Linked DNA regions of Caenorhabditis elegans. The protein of the gene in region 1 interacts with the protein of each later gene in a pairwise test. Each region holds a gene or a part of one and is shown in the gene's direction. Other genes may lie near its edges.

Evidence for each region. Proteins that work in one complex are often made in the same cells at the same time.
Region 2: the proteins of memb-2 (region 1) and vps-52 interact in a two-hybrid assay, tested with the Caenorhabditis elegans proteins (one study listed by BioGRID).

Annotation. Positions count from the first base shown.
Region 1 is NC_003283.11:5,616,414-5,623,531, reverse strand, and holds memb-2 (Golgi SNAP receptor complex member 2), read left to right. Parts: upstream 1-4,330; 5' UTR 4,331-4,335; coding exon 4,336-4,463; intron 4,464-4,509; coding exon 4,510-4,707; intron 4,708-4,757; coding exon 4,758-4,845; intron 4,846-4,899; coding exon 4,900-5,004; intron 5,005-5,051; coding exon 5,052-5,183; 3' UTR 5,184-5,211; downstream 5,212-7,118. Other genes in the region: M03E7.2 (uncharacterized protein), read right to left, coding at 5,293-5,543, 5,594-5,655, 5,766-5,821.
Region 2 is NC_003284.9:7,561,621-7,571,030, forward strand, and holds vps-52 (Vacuolar protein sorting-associated protein 52 homolog), read left to right. Parts: upstream 1-3,702; 5' UTR 3,703-3,710; coding exon 3,711-3,867; intron 3,868-3,909; coding exon 3,910-4,028; intron 4,029-4,090; coding exon 4,091-4,186; intron 4,187-4,228; coding exon 4,229-4,459; intron 4,460-4,513; coding exon 4,514-4,747; intron 4,748-4,797; coding exon 4,798-5,004; intron 5,005-5,054; coding exon 5,055-5,180; intron 5,181-5,289; coding exon 5,290-5,571; intron 5,572-5,619; coding exon 5,620-6,010; intron 6,011-6,057; coding exon 6,058-6,176; intron 6,177-6,228; coding exon 6,229-6,375; 3' UTR 6,376-6,525; downstream 6,526-9,410. Other genes in the region: F08C6.5 (uncharacterized protein), read left to right, coding at 1-138, 210-331; sto-1 (Stomatin-1), read left to right, coding at 1,271-1,364, 1,670-1,770, 1,818-1,970, 2,022-2,096, 2,143-2,406, 2,480-2,598, 2,647-2,833; Apyrase apy-1, read right to left, coding at 6,648-6,761, 6,843-7,361, 7,436-7,550, 7,619-7,683, 7,800-7,943, 7,990-8,100; Zinc finger protein unc-98, read right to left, coding at 9,020-9,352. UniProt on the Caenorhabditis elegans protein: Acts as a component of the GARP complex that is involved in retrograde transport from early and late endosomes to the trans-Golgi network (TGN). The GARP complex facilitates tethering as well as SNARE complex assembly at the Golgi.

The DNA of each region.
Region 1 (7,118 bases):
AGGGGGAGAATGTTTAAAAAATTCAAAAAATCATGAAATTGCAATGGGTTTTCACTAATTCCAAACCATATTATTTTTGAAGTGTGATAAGAGAGAATGAAGCATTGTAAATTGGGAATTTTTATATACAAGAACACTTAAAAAATCTTAAGTTTTTAAAATAAAAGTTTTGCTAATTTTACCGATCAGCAATTCTACGAAATGAGCCAGTGTGGCATGTTACCCTAAAATGTTTTTAATATAGTGATAGAATATAGAAAAATTATAATTTTTCAGATTTTTTTTCAACAATTTCTTTCAGTTTCTTTCAGACAATTTTGAACACTATTTCATTTGTTCCAACTAAAATAAAAGCTTTATTACAAGAAAACAATATGGTTGGAAAACATTGAGTACCACTTTTTGACTGTTAATTTAAAATTTTCAAAATAGTTTTGAGAACTGTAGATTTTTGTACTGGCGATTCAGAATACTGTTAAAAAATTTTTATTTCTTCCAATTTCCAACAGAATCAATTTTTTCTAATAGAAGAAGACTATTTTTCACAACATCAAAGTGCACTACTTTCAGAAACTTTTTGAAAAAAAAATTCTGGGAGATCTTGCTCTGTTTCTGGCAAAGTTAGTAGAACAAAATATTTTTCCTAACTGAATTCACACAGATGTTTGCCATTTTCTATAATATAAAGGTTTTTATGATATACTAACTATAGTCCAAGTTAACCGCAAATCTTACAAAAGAGTTCAAAAGTGATTAGATTTTTCAAATCTTCAGTCAAAAATTTTTGTGAATTGTCAATTTTTCCAAAAAATTTTGACTTTTGGAATAGTTTTGAGTATTTCTTTGATCCACTAGATCGAATTAAAACATTTTTAGAAACAATTATTTTTTGGTAGACTTTCAGCATTATCATCAGTAAAAACTGGGTAGACTTCACCACTTTTTGACCGTAGATTAAAAATAAATTCATTAAAAAAATTTGAACGTTTACTGTGATATTTGGAAAATTTTTCACTGTATGGGCAGTTTTAAATAATTTCCCCACTTAAATTACCTTAAATTTGCAAAAAAGTTAACTGACCTCATCAATCCTTTCTCTCTGATGTTGTCGGTGGTGTTGTTCTACCTCTCTCGCTGGGGACTTGCGCCCATTCAGTATATGGGACAGAATCTCAACTCTGAAGACTCTCAACTTGTTTCAAAATAAAACTTGTGGGTCTCTCTTTCGGAGAAACTTCAGAGCACCCCGCGACTCGTCCACCACCACCACCACCACTCAAAATGAAAAAGAAACGATTTCACCCCCCGCGAAAGGGATTAGAATAATCGAGAGCAAGCGATGGCAATTGATGCGCCACCACCAAATACATACACACAAAAACAGAAAACAGACACATCTGAAGAAGGAGAGAAGAACCTCTCCTCCCGAGGGTATTTACTTCGAAAGGAGAGCGAAACAAGACAGGGCAGGAAGTGAAGGAAAAGCAAAGAAGAAGAAGGAGTCAAGAATAAAAAACCAAGATGAAGGCGAAGAAGAAGGCAAGGTCGTATTTAGTAACGAAGAGTTGAAGACAAAAAAAATGGAAATAGAGAACATAATAGTGGAAGTTTGAGCAACTACTGTCTAGCAGGTGACACGAATATTTCGCCGGCGGGTGACGTAAGCGCTGCGAGATTTTTGGGAATGAAATTCGGAAAGGTAGGACCGCAAATTTTGCCACTGGTGAAAAATAACTTTTTTGATGTAATCTTAAAAGGCGTACTGTTAAAAATACTTATCTTAGCTAATACTGGTAAACCGGAATAAACCGGGCCCCCGTCGTCCAGTTTTTCCGGATTCAAGAGAATCCGAGTAACTTGGTTTTTCGATTTTTTTAAATAACTGGTTCCCGTTTTTATAATCCGGAAATTTTGGAACGGAATGAAACGTCGAAAAATGAAATTGAATTTTTTTATCTGTACCGTATTTCCTCTATTAGTCTTGCATGCAAGACTAAGTTTCAATTGACCCGTAGAGGTGCAAGACTAATAGAGACTGCAAGACTATTAGAGGCTGCAAGACTAATTTTCGAAGATCCAATAGCTTTATAAAATTGGCCATTTATCGTAAAAAATTTGACTCGAAACAGTCTAAATCATGCAAAATACATACTTTTCTATTGTTTTATCAATTATTTTAACACTTTAAAATTTAATTTAGCTATAAAATGGCGAAATTGTTGAAGTTTTCACAAAATACTGCTGGTCTGCCTAGAATAGGGGTGCAAGACTAATACCGTATGCTCTCTATTAGTCTTGCATGCAATTCCAATAGAGGCTGCAAGACTAATAGAGGAAATACGGTAAATTAGTTTGCTTATGATTTTAGGTGCTAAAAATCTGATAAATTCTGGTTTTCTCTGTATTTACAGCTTGAAATTTGTAGCGACTACTGTAGCTGAGGTTGTGGCAAGACCCACACAAAAACAGCGCGTGCCTTTGAAGTGAAGTGACAATTTTTAACAGAAGTACAATATAATTTTTCTTGTAACAAATTCAAGTGCAAATAGATTGCGGGGAGCCTTTTTGCACAATAGGGATACAAGATTTTTAAAATTTAGTAAAAAAGTCGATTATTCTTATTTTTCAAAAAAACTTATACATATATTTCGAAAACAAAACGTTCAAAAAAAATTCTAACATTTCAATTGTCACTTTTAATGAGAAGTTTTGCAAAACTTGATAGTTATAGTTAGAAGCTAAATTCGTGGCGAGACCCTTTCATTATCAGACGAACAGCTAGTGCCTTCGAAGTGACGTTTCACATTTTCACAGAAGTTAATAGAAATTCCAAAAATTTCTTTAAAACGTCAATTTTATTTTCAATTTTGGTAAATATTTAACAATTTTCAGAACTCCAACTTTCATATTATATTTCAAGTCTAGAAAACCTGACTAAAAATTTCAGAGATCACTTTAAAATTATTTTTTAATAACTAATTTTAATTTTCAAAAAAAAAAACCGTAATTTTGAGCTATGGAAACTAGGTTCAATACACATTTGGAAAAACGACAAAGCCAATAATTTTACAAAGCAGAAAAAAATTATGAAACATCAGACAAAAAATGTCGCCTACACTTCCTACCTGGCACTTTCAAAGTCATTCTTTTGAAAATTGCTTGCAATTTCAATACATTCTAAGAACGCGAACACTTTTTTTTCTACTTTTCTGCGCGAAGATCTTAACTTATTTATTTATATAAAAATAAAATGGAATATCTCATACGTCAGAGACAAAACTAAAAAAACACTTTTTTTCTTTTTTCACCAAAAATGAGGCACACTTGGAAACTCGGAAAAAATGACGGAAAGCTCACCGAAAAGCTTCCCGTCCTTCTCTCAATCTCATTCTTGCTCTCTTTTTTGTGCTCTTTTTTCGTCCATTGAGCCAGATCATTGCTACGCACCCGGACCATAAAATGCTCATTATAAACCCTCCTCTCAACTTTTATCGGGTCACGTCTCGTGGGGATTTCGGGTGTTGATAGCTGGTTGTAAACATGTTTCTCGACGGGAAATTTGTGAGTTGGATTTTTGATTCTTAAATATTGGAAATGTGGGATTTTATATTAAAAAAGGAGGTTTCAAAAAATAATAGGAATTATATTCAAGGGTAATGAAATTTTCAATAAAAGTTTCCCAAATATTTAGATAATAGTGATTTTCTCACCCAGACGCAAAATTTTACGAATTTAGGTCGAATAATTCGGTTCCCGGTCTCGAAACGACTAATTTTTGTTATATTCGGGAAGGTGTGTGCCTTTAAAGGGTACTGTAACTTCAAAATTTCGATGCAGATGAATACTCCTTGAATTCTCATATTCTTCATTCAAATTTGTTATGCCATGTCCAGAACGCGGAAAAAATCCGCACATTTTCATTTTTATATTTTAATTTTTCAACTTGAAATCTCTAAAAATCAGAAACTACCGTACTTTTTGGTTTCTGCCGTCTCTCACTCTCTAACAAATGTTCGATAGAGCGCAATTGCACTAGATTTTTTCGAGGCAATTTTTTTTCAAATTTTATCTTTCAGCGAAATCATTTTTCAACGTTTCAATTTAATAATTTTCTTTCAAATTAAAAGAAATGATTATTAAAATTATTTTAAAAACTACGATTCCGTTCCACGTCATAAAAAACGTAAGCTGACGTCACATAGGCATGCCATTGAGAAATCGTGGATTTTATTTTCTAATTTCGTATTTTCTGAATATTCACTGGCATTTCTTGTTTTTAATTTTAAAAGTGAGTACTTTCACTTTGAAGAATTTTATTTTTATATTTTAGAGTCGATGGATACACAACTCAAGGCCACTAGGGAAGAAATCGACAATGTTCAGCTACTTTTGATTGCGATTGAACGTCAAACGGGAAATCACGAAGTGGATCGATTAATTCAGGATGCAAATAGTAGTCTTATGTAAAACTGATAATTTTATTTAATTCCAACAAGAATCTTTTTTTAGGAAAACTGAAACACACATGTTTCGACTGGAATCACAACTGGGCAGAGAACCGGCTCCAGTTAGACAGAAAGCTTCGTTCAAAATGGATCAATTGAAAAGTGATGTGTGTCTTATCAAAAATTCATTGAGAACAATGACAAATCGTCACACTAATCGAAAGAAGCAAGCAGAAGAAAAGAAAGCACTTCTGAAACAGAGGTTGGTAATTAAAATAAATAATCTATAGTTTTTTTAATAACTCTTTCCAGGTTTACAACAAATCAAGAAACGCGTGTGAATCTGGAATTTGACGAAGAGCTCAACTTGAATGATAAACTGAAATACTCGGATAATATGGTAAATTTTTGTGAAATCGATAAATGTAAATTAATATTAAATATTAAATTTCAGATCGATCAAATGCTAGCCCAAGGTGCAAGCGTCTTTGAGGATCTTCAAAAACAGAAGTACAACTTGCTGAGCATTCGAAAACGATTCCATTTTCTGACCAAATCCGTAAGTATATCTGGTTTCGCTCAATAAATTAGATGAAAATCTTTCAGCTGGGAATATCTGATACCACAATTCGACTCATCGAAAAGCGTGTGCGAGAAGACAAGAAACTCTTTATGATCGGTGTAATTTGTTGCCTGATATTCATGTTCTGCTTCTATTATTGGTGGCAATACTGTTAAACAATGTAAATAAATTAAATGGAATTTTATTATACAAGGAGAAGAAAGACGAACATGTGATATGAGATTCTTCGACAGATAAATAAAGAGATTCAACATTTTTCAGAGGTTACTTCTTCTTACCCATGAATGGGAAGGACATTGATGATCCCATACCGCCCATCGATCCCATTCCATATGGTGACATGCCTCCTCCGTATGGGCTCATTCCTCCCATTCCACCCATTGGTCCCATCATTCCATATGGGCTCATTCCACCCATTCCACCCATTCCATACGGGCTCATTCCGGGTGGAGGCATCGGTGGTGGCATTCCTCCGTACATTCCATTCATGCCGCCCATGCCCATTCCCATGGAACCTGAAATTCCAAAATATTGCAGTGTGAATTGTTTTTAAAGAATATCTCACCTAGCCCGAGGCTTGACAGAAGTGGATCATTGAGTGACGAGGAGTACGATGCTGGAAGAGCACTGAAAACTGTATTTTCTAGGTTCAGGGGAAAGGTGTTTCGATTTCTCGAATTTAACCAAATTTTCTGAGATAAAAACATTTAAAAGCAATATTTCAAACAGAATCTTACCTTGAAATCGCGATTAAGCTTGAGAATACAAGAGAAAAAACACTGGATAATTGCATTTTATTTTTGAAAATGACGAGACGAGAATGTAGACTTGGATCAGGCAGCAATTGACTGCACAACACCAGTTTGTCGGTCTTTTTAATGTTATGCTCTGATGGGCGTGACTGTTCTCTCTCTCCTCCAAAAAAGGTAGCAGAAGATATTCGGTCGAGTAAGCGCAGATGATCCAACCGGTTAACGAAATTGACGGGCTGCTGCTGCTACTGCTGTCATAGACCTTGCACTTCTGGGATTAGATGAGACGGGAGTGGATGGAGGAAGATGAAGAAGTTCAAAGGGAATAAAGCCTCAACTTTGAATTGTTCAATGTCACTTGTAATCCATGGAATCTCTACTTTAAAATGTATAGTAATTAAATTGAATAAATTCATGAATATTCAAACTAAATTCTAGTAACCCATTAACGTTGGGTCGCGTTGTGTCTTGACGGTAAAGCTGTAAATTCAAAATTTTTTCAATCATATTTATTACGGAAAGACAAAATTCTGAGAATGCGTATTGCGCAACATATTTGACGCGCAGAATATCTCGTAGCGAAAATTACAGTAATTCTTCAAATGACAACTGTAGCTCTTGTGTCGATTTACGGGCTCGATTGTGACATCGATAATCCATTTTCCTTTGGTTTCTTCTTATTATTTTCTCATGTTTTGCTTAATTTTCATTTCGAAAATCGAGCCCGTAAATCAACACAAGCGCTACAGTAGTCGTTTAAAGAATTACTGTAGTTTACGCTATGAGATATTTTGCGCGTCAAGTATGTTGCTCAATACGCATTCTCAGAATTTTGTGTTCCCATAATATATGTATTGCCTTCTTTTTTATTTTTTCCGTTTTTTTTTTTTTTTTTTTTTTTTTAAATGATTTTAAGGTAGAAAAAATATTGAAAAAAGTTTTATAAATTTCAAAATGTCATTGTTGTTCCAAAGATTTTGAATTTGGTATTGCCGCCAAATACCTAACGAGACACAAAGTTTAGGGGCGGAGCGTTATCAAACGAAGTTTTTTCGCGCACCCATAATATGGTCAGTTGTTCTCTCTATGATCCATGATTTTCCAATATTGTTATTAAAATGTGAATATCTGATTCAACCCTCTGAGAAAACTACAATAACTTTCCGGCATATTCAATGAAGGTTTTATTACTGTTTCTGATTTGTACCTACATAACTTGGCGAACATAAAGAAATAAATTCAAACGATGCACCATGAGTCATACCGTAATCTTCGTGTTTCTTTTCAGCTTCTCCCATTTCTCCATTTCTAGTTTTATTAAGCCACCCACAGTTGAAC
Region 2 (9,410 bases), on another chromosome or scaffold:
CATTTTGCCTGCTGCTTTCTTTCTTCTATCTCTCAGCAGTGATTGACCCAAGTTCTTACGCAGCTGAGCAGATCGAAATTGTTCTTGCCGATAAGGTGCAGTATTTTGCTGATCTTCTGAACACGACCCCAAAAGCAGGTACGCACGCGCTTTTTATTTTCCGCCTTCTGTGGTTTTTTGATGACTGACTCAAACATTGTGCATTCCAGTAATAATAACGACTGGTGCAATTGGATCGCTAGTCTACGCATGCACATTTTTCCTTCACAGCTGGTTTATGTTTATTGTGGTTCGAACGGCACAGTACTTCCGTGCCATCACTAGTATTTGATAAAGAATACAACGGTAAACATGAATCGACCTGCTCTTCCTTCCTGTTTGCCTCCACTCTGTTTGAAAATATTGTCAATTACATACATCACCTTAATTTTTGTTTTTTTATTTTAATATTATGAAATCAAAAAAATCTATACAGAAATAGAACTATCATAAAACCTATACTTTTTCACACATACACCTATACACCTGACGCATTTATATGACAGAACCAAACGCGAGCGAACGCAATTTCATAACATAAAATCACCTATTGCAAAGTTTTTTTTCACACTTTTAATTTCACCAATGACGCAGAGAATATTGTGCATTGGCGTCTAAAAAAACCTGGCTCATGTTATCACTCGATGCTTCTCCAACCACTAACATTTTGATTCTTGAAAAAGAACGTAATCTCTGACGTAAAATCACAAAAATAGTTATGTAATTTCATTTGATCACTCATTTTATTTTCACACCGTCCGGTACTCTCTGTATAAAAAAACCTCTCGTCAGATAATTTTACAATTTGAATATAAAACCATCTGTTCTAACAATTGAATCAGAATATGTCCTCTTAAGCTTGTACCTTTTTAATTAACGCTCCATAATTTTTGGCATTTTTCATCTGCTCTGCTCTTCCATCGCACCACTGATCGTTTCTAATTCAAAAATGCCTTTTTCCTACATCCTCTCACTAATTGCATTTTAGCAACCTACCCCCAAAAACAATCACACGAGTTATTTTCTCCTGTTACCAAGGAAAAAGGTCACAACATTAATCAGCTCAGTTCAGAGCCACCGGCTCTCTTTCCGCACCTGCCCTCCTCTCTCCTTCTATTCTTATTTCTCCCTTGCCCTTGTGTCTCTTCTGTGACGGCTCGCGTAGGCGGTCGCACAGTCCCCTTTCACCATAAATCACGCAATTGTGACCCCGTACCGTCCGTCTCTTATGATGCAGCCCTCAGAAACAGTTGAGATGCAGGAAATGGCTCAACCTTCCGGCCAGCAGCGCGATGTCGAAGCGAGAGTTCAATCGGCCCCAGCAAGTTGGTTTTTTTTTCGTTTTGTTTTATGTAGAACTTTAAGTCATCGTAAAACGAAAAAAGTTTCAGTATTTTTACTAGAATTTAAATGTTCAAAATTGTTGGAAAAATTACTGTCATATCAGCACGCTTTTATAATGTTTAGACTTTTGAAAAAAAAAAATTAGTCAAACTTTTGGTAATTTGTCAAATTTTTTGGTCAACTCCCAAAACGATGAGTAGAAAAAACTGAGTTAGTACCATTTTTTGGTTGTTAACAATAATAATACCAAATTTAAGAAAATTTAACAATTTTTTTATCTAATTAGACCATTCTCATGATGCTGGATGCACCGAGATGTTTTGCATTGCAATGTCCTACGTCCTTATCTTCCTCACGTTCCCCGTCTCTGTATTCATGTGCATAAAGGTAAATTTCTATCTACAAGAACGTATAAGGATGTATTTTTTCTTCAGATTGTTCAGGAATACCAACGTGCTGTAGTTTTCCGTTTGGGACGTCTTGTTCCTGACGTCAAAGGTCCCGGAATCTTCTTCATCATACCTTGTATTGATACTTTCTTGAATATCGATCTGCGTGTGGCATCGTACAATGTCCCTTCACAAGAGGTATGTTGCGCAACACACCTGCTCACTGTGATATAATCTTTCTCTCTTCAGATTCTGTCTCGCGATTCGGTTACCGTTTCTGTTGACGCAGTTGTCTACTTCAAGGTGTTTGACCCAATCACTTCGGTAAACTAAACAGCTGGTACGGTTCAATCTAATTTGGAATTTTTAGGTCGTCGGAGTTGGCAATGCGACCGACTCTACCAAACTTTTGGCTCAAACCACCCTCCGTACAATTCTCGGTACCCATACCCTTTCAGAAATTCTATCCGACCGTGAGAAAATCTCCGCCGACATGAAAATCTCGCTCGATGAAGCTACAGAGCCATGGGGAATCAAGGTTGAACGTGTCGAGCTTCGCGATGTCCGTCTTCCATCTCAAATGCAACGTGCTATGGCTGCTGAAGCCGAGGCTACTCGTGATGCTGGAGCAAAGGTGAGCCGACATGATGAGCATAGCAAAATGCGGGGGACCAATAATTATTAATTTCGATTGCAATTAATTTCAGATTATCGCTGCCGAAGGAGAATTAAGAGCATCTGCCGCTCTTGCTGAAGCCGCCACCATCATTTCAAAAAGCGAGGGAGCCATGCAGCTTCGATATCTGCACACACTCAATGCTATCAGGTAATGGAAGCGCACTATCAACTTTTAACTAACAAAATAAAATTTCAGTTCCGAGAAAACCAGCACAATCATCTTCCCGTTCCCAATGGAGATTCTCGGAGGAATCAGCAAGGTTGGTTCAGGAGGCACATCTCAGAACTTTCCAGTTCAAGAAATGATGAATGCCGCCCTTCAATCCATTCAACGTCAGGATACAGTTCCAGCCACCGCATCTTCCTCAGGAAGCCGACTCTGATTCCAAGCAACGCAAAATGAGCTACAGTTTCGTCAAAAAACAAAACAAGGATCAACTCGAAGCATATTGATAATCTCTTTCCTGTTTGAAGTATTTTTTTTTAACTATTAAACTGTATTATTCAACTGTATAACACTTAATATTTATACTCGATTTCCACCTCATTCACTTCCAAATTGCACATATCGGTTGTCAAGGCATATCTTTGAGAGGTTGTCTGAAAGACTTCCGATTTTGCTCCAAATTTTTTCAGTCATTTTTCTCATCATAATAATAATATATATATGATTCTCCACGTTCCATTGTATTTTTCAAGTGTATTTTTCCAAGAAAATGAAGGAAGCCATATAGTTTAGAAATTTGTCTAATTTTTTGTAAAACGGGAAATATTTGAATCGAAGGATTCAAAAAGTTTTGAGAAATTTTTTATTTCGAGCCTAATGCGCTGAAAACTAGGTTTTCACCAATTATTATGAAAGTCTTTGATCAGAAAAATTCATATTTTCACTTATTTTTTCACTAAACAAAAATCCAAATTTCAATATTGTTGGGGTTTGAAGATTTAATAGTGTTTTAGATTTCTCGTAGCGAATTGTCAAAAATATACCAAATAGATAAATTAAATTCTCTATAAAAATTCAAAAATCCACACATTCTCATTTTTCCAATTGTTCTGCATAACCTCCTTGGCGAGCATTTTCCTCGCCTTCCTCGCACACAAGCACACCATTATTCTAAACACCGCGCGGGGTGTAAAAAGCGGAGCATCGTTTAACGACGTGTTACCAATTGTTTTTTCTTTGGTTTATCGCTATTTTTTATTTATTAACGTTAGTTATTCATCAAAATTTTTATTGAAACAATTTCAGCACAAATAATGCCTCGAACACGTGTCAACTTGCAAAAATCCGAGGCAAATGACCGTAGTTTCACAATATCGTCGCTAGAATTTTGTTTATCGCAATTGCGAAAAGCAGATCCGAATTTGGTGAAAAAAGCAATTGCTTCTGGTGACGGACTAACCGAGTCGAAAAGTATGTCTCTAAATGTCAACATTTGAAAAATCAATAATTCAGACGACGTCAGCACGCGGCTATCGGAGGCACATCGTTATTCTGTTCAACAGTGTCTTGATAACTCTGAGCAGTTGGCTCAACTCCATAATCAACTTGTGCATTGTGATAATGTTTTTGAAGTAAGTATATTGTAAAAATTGCCAATATATAAATCAGTCGACTATTTAATTAAACTTTTTAGCGCTTGCAAGCAACATTGTACAGTTTTCAAGACAATCTAGGATCAATTGGGCAGGATATGAAAAATTTGCAGCTACAGTCGCATCATATTCATCAAGTAAATTAATTTTCCAATTTCAACGTACTATAATCTTCTCAGGAACTGGAAAACCGGCAAAAAGTTAGAGTCGAGCTGAGCCAATTTGTAGACGATATTGCTGTTTCTCAAACGATGATGAAAACTATCAACGACACTGATGCAAATGACAGGGGTTTTTTGGAAGCGCTCCACGAGTTACACCACAAAATAACCTTAATTTTGCAAAGGGGAAATGGAGATGCGGTAGCGGTAAACGACACTATGCCGATTTTGGAAGGACTAAAGCTTAAGGTTGGGTGTTTTTTTTTTTACAAAAGTTTACATTTCAAAAATGTTTTTTTTCAGGCGGTTGTAAAAGTGAGGGAATGGTTGCTTCAGAAAATGTTCCAATTCCGTAAACCTCTGTCCAACTACCAAGTTTTTCAACACCAGCTTCTCAAATGCCGATTTTTCTACGAATTCCTGTTGCACCATGACTTGATCTCTGCCAAGGAACTTCAAGACGAGTACATTGACACCATCAGCAAGATGTTCTTCACGTATTTCAAAGCATACGCCACACGCCTGTTCAAACTTGCGGTAGGTTGAGACACATTTTTCAAGTATATTCACCAGAGTAATTATTTAAGATGAAAGACGTGGCCACCAAAGAAGACGCTTTGGGAAGTATTGATTTTGCAAAACCCGCTGGATTAGGCGCAATTTTCTCGTCGAAACAACACGTTGTTCGGAATAAGGCAACCGTTTTTTCGATTGGGCAACGACATCAAATTCTCTCTGACGACTTTTTAGGAGCCTTGATTGTTCCCCACGCAGCTACGCAGAACCATCAATCGGTATACCTTACAATAGAACTGGTAGGGACCAAATTAAATTATATTTTCAGTATCAATTTGAAGCACTATTTCGTTCTATTCAACTGGCATTTGTCGATCACTACAGCCATGAGTACCTCTTTATTACCGACTTTTTCCTTGTCAGCAATGATGAAGCCATTGAACTGCATAACAAGGTATGTTACGAGGACCTGGAAAGACCTAATATCTATTACGTAGTAATGTTACATTTACAATAGTTGTTTGCCTTTTCACTACCGGAAAAAAGCTTATAATTGCTTTCAGGCTATGGCTCGAGCAATGTCAGTTGTGCTCAAAAGCTGCGAGGAGCAAATCGCCCTTAGTTGGGACGCCATCAGTCTTCATCTGTGCATTTGTCTATGTGACAAGTTTACCGAAGTGCTCGCCGAGAGAGAGGTACCAGAAGTTAGCGATTATTGGAATACTGTCACAAGCTTCCTTTGGACCCGCCTCAATTTGGTCATGTCTCAACACTACGAAAGTGTCAAATCTGTTGATTTGAAGAAGTTGATGCATAGCGGTTCACTTGATGCAAGACCGCATTTCGTAAGTTTTTGATTGTTTTTTATAATCAAAAAAATTCAGATGTTACAGATAGTCCGACGGTACGCCGAACTGACAAGTGCACATTTGATGATAGCAAAAGCAAGTGGAAAGGAAATGGGTGCAAAGATGGAAGCTGTCTTGGAGAACAGTGAAGACTCTATTGAACAACTATTGACTCGAATGTCAGCTATGCAGCAAACTCAGAAAAATAAGCACGTCTTTCTGATTAACAATTACGATCTTATTCTTTCGATTATCGATAACGAGGAAAGCAAGCATACAAAGATTTATGCAATTGTCCATGAGCTTGAACAAAAAAGTATTGATGATTTTGTTGAAGAGATGCTAGAGCCACATATTGGGTACATGATTAAATTTGTCAACGAGTGTGAATCTCTGATTGTTCAAGGTCATACACAACTCTTAGTTCGATATAATGGCAAGTTGTCATATATAATTTTCTATTCTCTAATATTTTAATTTCAGACAAAGTTGGAACGGTGGTAGCAAACTTCAATGCAAAGTGGAGACCTGCAGTGGACAGTATTAATTCAGAATGCATACAACTTTTCACTAACTTCAGCCTGGGAACCACCATTTTACAGGTTAAAATTTATTTCCTAGAGCCGAATTTCAGTTTTAACTAGATGATTTCAGACAATCTTCACAAAGTACGTTCAGTATATCAATAGATTCACAAAGATTCTGTCCCATGACGTATTTGCTAAAAATCCCGTGTGTTCCCAGTTAGTCAACGTTCATCAAGTGATGCTCGAAATCAAACGGTTCAAACCAGCATATTAAGAAAAATATTGCCAATGTTATTTTATTTTCCCGTGTAGACTTTGTAAATTAAATAATTTATTGATTCCCACTTACTTGAGTATTTTTTTATATATATTTTTACCCACTGGCAGCTTTATGCATGCAAAAAATGTTGAATAAAATGTTTATATATTTATTTTATTTAAATAACCATTACATAGTATTTGACAAAAATCACATAATATCGAGAACACAGATTTGGACCTGACTGGAAGGTGGGAATTGAGACAAAAATACATTAATTGAAGTGATTAGGCAAATGCAATTCCTTCGTATTTGTATGGACCATGAAGAAGATATTCGTCAAGAATAACATTACCATGAATGTCGAAAACACTTGCATAACTTGCTACTGGTTTTCCATCCTGGAATACAATTTTATAAACCGAGCATTGAGATTAACGGATTTTGTTTTTAAAATTGTGTAGATAAAACCTGTTACTTACCTTTTCCTCCGACTTGATGGCAACGATGAGCTGGTGATGAGTGTTTGGCACAAATTGGAAAGCAGCAAACCCTCTGGATTTGTTATTCTCCGATCCTACTCGCACAACCTCAAAATCAGTCAACTCTTCATTTCCAATCACAAGAACGTTTGTTCCGCGGTTCTCGTCCTCCGCCTCAGAATACTTCTCATTTGACATTCTACGTGGAAGGAAGAACCATTTTCTGTGAATTGCAGACCATTGAACAGCTTCGTGAATCATGTATCCGGGATATTCGATCCCAGCAGCTCTACGAACGCGGATATATACATCCTTCCAGTTTTCGTGATGAACGGCTCCGTGAGCAGAGACATGCTTCACCCACATTGGGTGATCGTTCACATAAACTCCGTCAGTGGTCGTCCATTCTTTTCCCAATCCTCCAACAATCAATTCGGTATCCTTAACAGTGATCCATTCTCCTTTAAATCCCTTCACGACGTTTCCTGGCCCATCGTTCAGTAATACCCAGGGAAGTGCCTTCAAAACAATATTATATTTTTTAAAAATCAATCCACTACACAAATATCATTGTTTAACCACTCATCACTCACCTTCTTGTCACTAATTTGATAAATAAGACCTGTTCTATCGTCAATTGAGTACAGTTTACCATTGAAGACGGCAAGGTCAGACAACTCCATAGCGCGTCCACCGGCGGCAATATTTCTAAAATGATGATTTTAGTAATGAAGTCAAAACAAAAAAATCTATAAAAACACATTTTGTAAACTTACGTGTCAACATAGTACTCCGAGTCTTTGTCAAAATGAATATCGGCATGCTTGTGGTCTGCAGAAACCTGAAATATAAATTTGAAAATTTCCTATAGCGATTCGAAAAAAGCAAGTTGCATTTTATAAAAATCATATTGGTCAAGCTGAGCATAATGCATTAGTTTCTTGCCGTCCTTCTCACCTTCAAAAATCCACGAGAGACCAAACTTTTCCACTTCTTCCCGTCTTTGCTGTCATGATCCAAATCGGTGATCAACATTATTGAGTATTCTTTTGCTCCATCATCAAACTTCTTTACCGAATACAAGTTAGCATGGTTGATGTGCTGTAAATGGATATGTGCGCAATCAGCTGAAAATGTAAAGAGTTACCTCTTCCTGTTCGCTAGATTTGTTGAATTGGGTACCCGAATAAAAGGCAATAGCGGTCACAAACCCGAAAAGAAGGAAGTTGAAAAAGTTTGAGTTACTTTCTTGTGTCATACCTAAAAATTATTTTTGTGAGTCTTAATTATAAGCATTAATTGAAAGTAAGAGATTTGAGAAAATATAAGTAGAATAAAAAAATAAAAAATGGTGTAGTTTTCCGAGAGTACTTCACGGCCGCGTGGCCTAGTTTTTTCAATGGGGACTCGATATTAATAACGAACACAAGTGCGTGTCCCAAATTGCATTTGCTTTATTGAGTGAGATATCGTGGCTGTGAAGTGGCAAAATATTTCGAGAACCGTTAATTAAACAATTTTATACATTTTTAAATAATGAATTCAAAATGATGCAAAATAAATTTAAAAAAACGTACAACTTCTAGAACAACGAACAATTGAGCTGTCTCGCTATCATCATCTTATCATTTTTGCTATCAAAAAATCGGTTGTGGGTTGTCGTAACACATCACAGAAGAAAGATTGATTGTGAGAGAGCCGGACAACATTTGTGCTAGCGGTCAATGTCTTTCCCGCTTAACATGGTCCCAATTGTACGATTGACCAGGAATCGATATTTCAGGGAAAGAAGAAAATACCAACAAGACATGACGAGAACAGTATTTATAGAGTGTGTCTGAGTGCGTTGGAAACACACGATTTTTGTGCTTTGTAGTCAATTGTAGTTTATGTTGAACACAAAACGAGTTTCTGCTGCTGACCGTCTTTATAACGAGCGTCTTAAAAATGTGAGGAAAAGACAAAATGACAAGAAATGAGAAAACGATAACACTAAAGAAAAACGTTGATTTAGTTGAAAGAAAGAAATATGAGTTATATGAAAGAACCATATCGAATATACATTTTGAAGGACAAATATTGTTAAAGCTAGCCGATGTTGAAATATATATATATTTTACAAGATCTGGATAGATTTAAATACTAAATTAGAAAAATTTTAAATACTCAGGGGTTGCTCAGAATCGCGGAGTCACGTATCCGCTTGTTCTTGGGAATAAATAGTAGCTTCTGGAATCAGTGTACCCAACTCCTTCCCTTCCCATCATATAACGAGATGCTCGAGGATTGAAGTACTTCTCTCCACGATGACTGTACATGTGATATGCAAGACCACGACTGTCAGAGTAGCTTTTCGAACAATATTCACAAATGTATGGTTTTGAACGAACGTCGTTGTACACTCGGAGTGGATGCTTCGGCTCGTATCCTTCAGTAACGAAAGCTGGCTGTGGAAGATCTTGCTCGGAGACCGGTAGGACTCGCTTCTTGCTTACTTTTATTGTGGTTGTCTGAAGTATTTCAAATTATATTGGTAATCTTCATTCTTCTCACAAATGTATTCCTTGT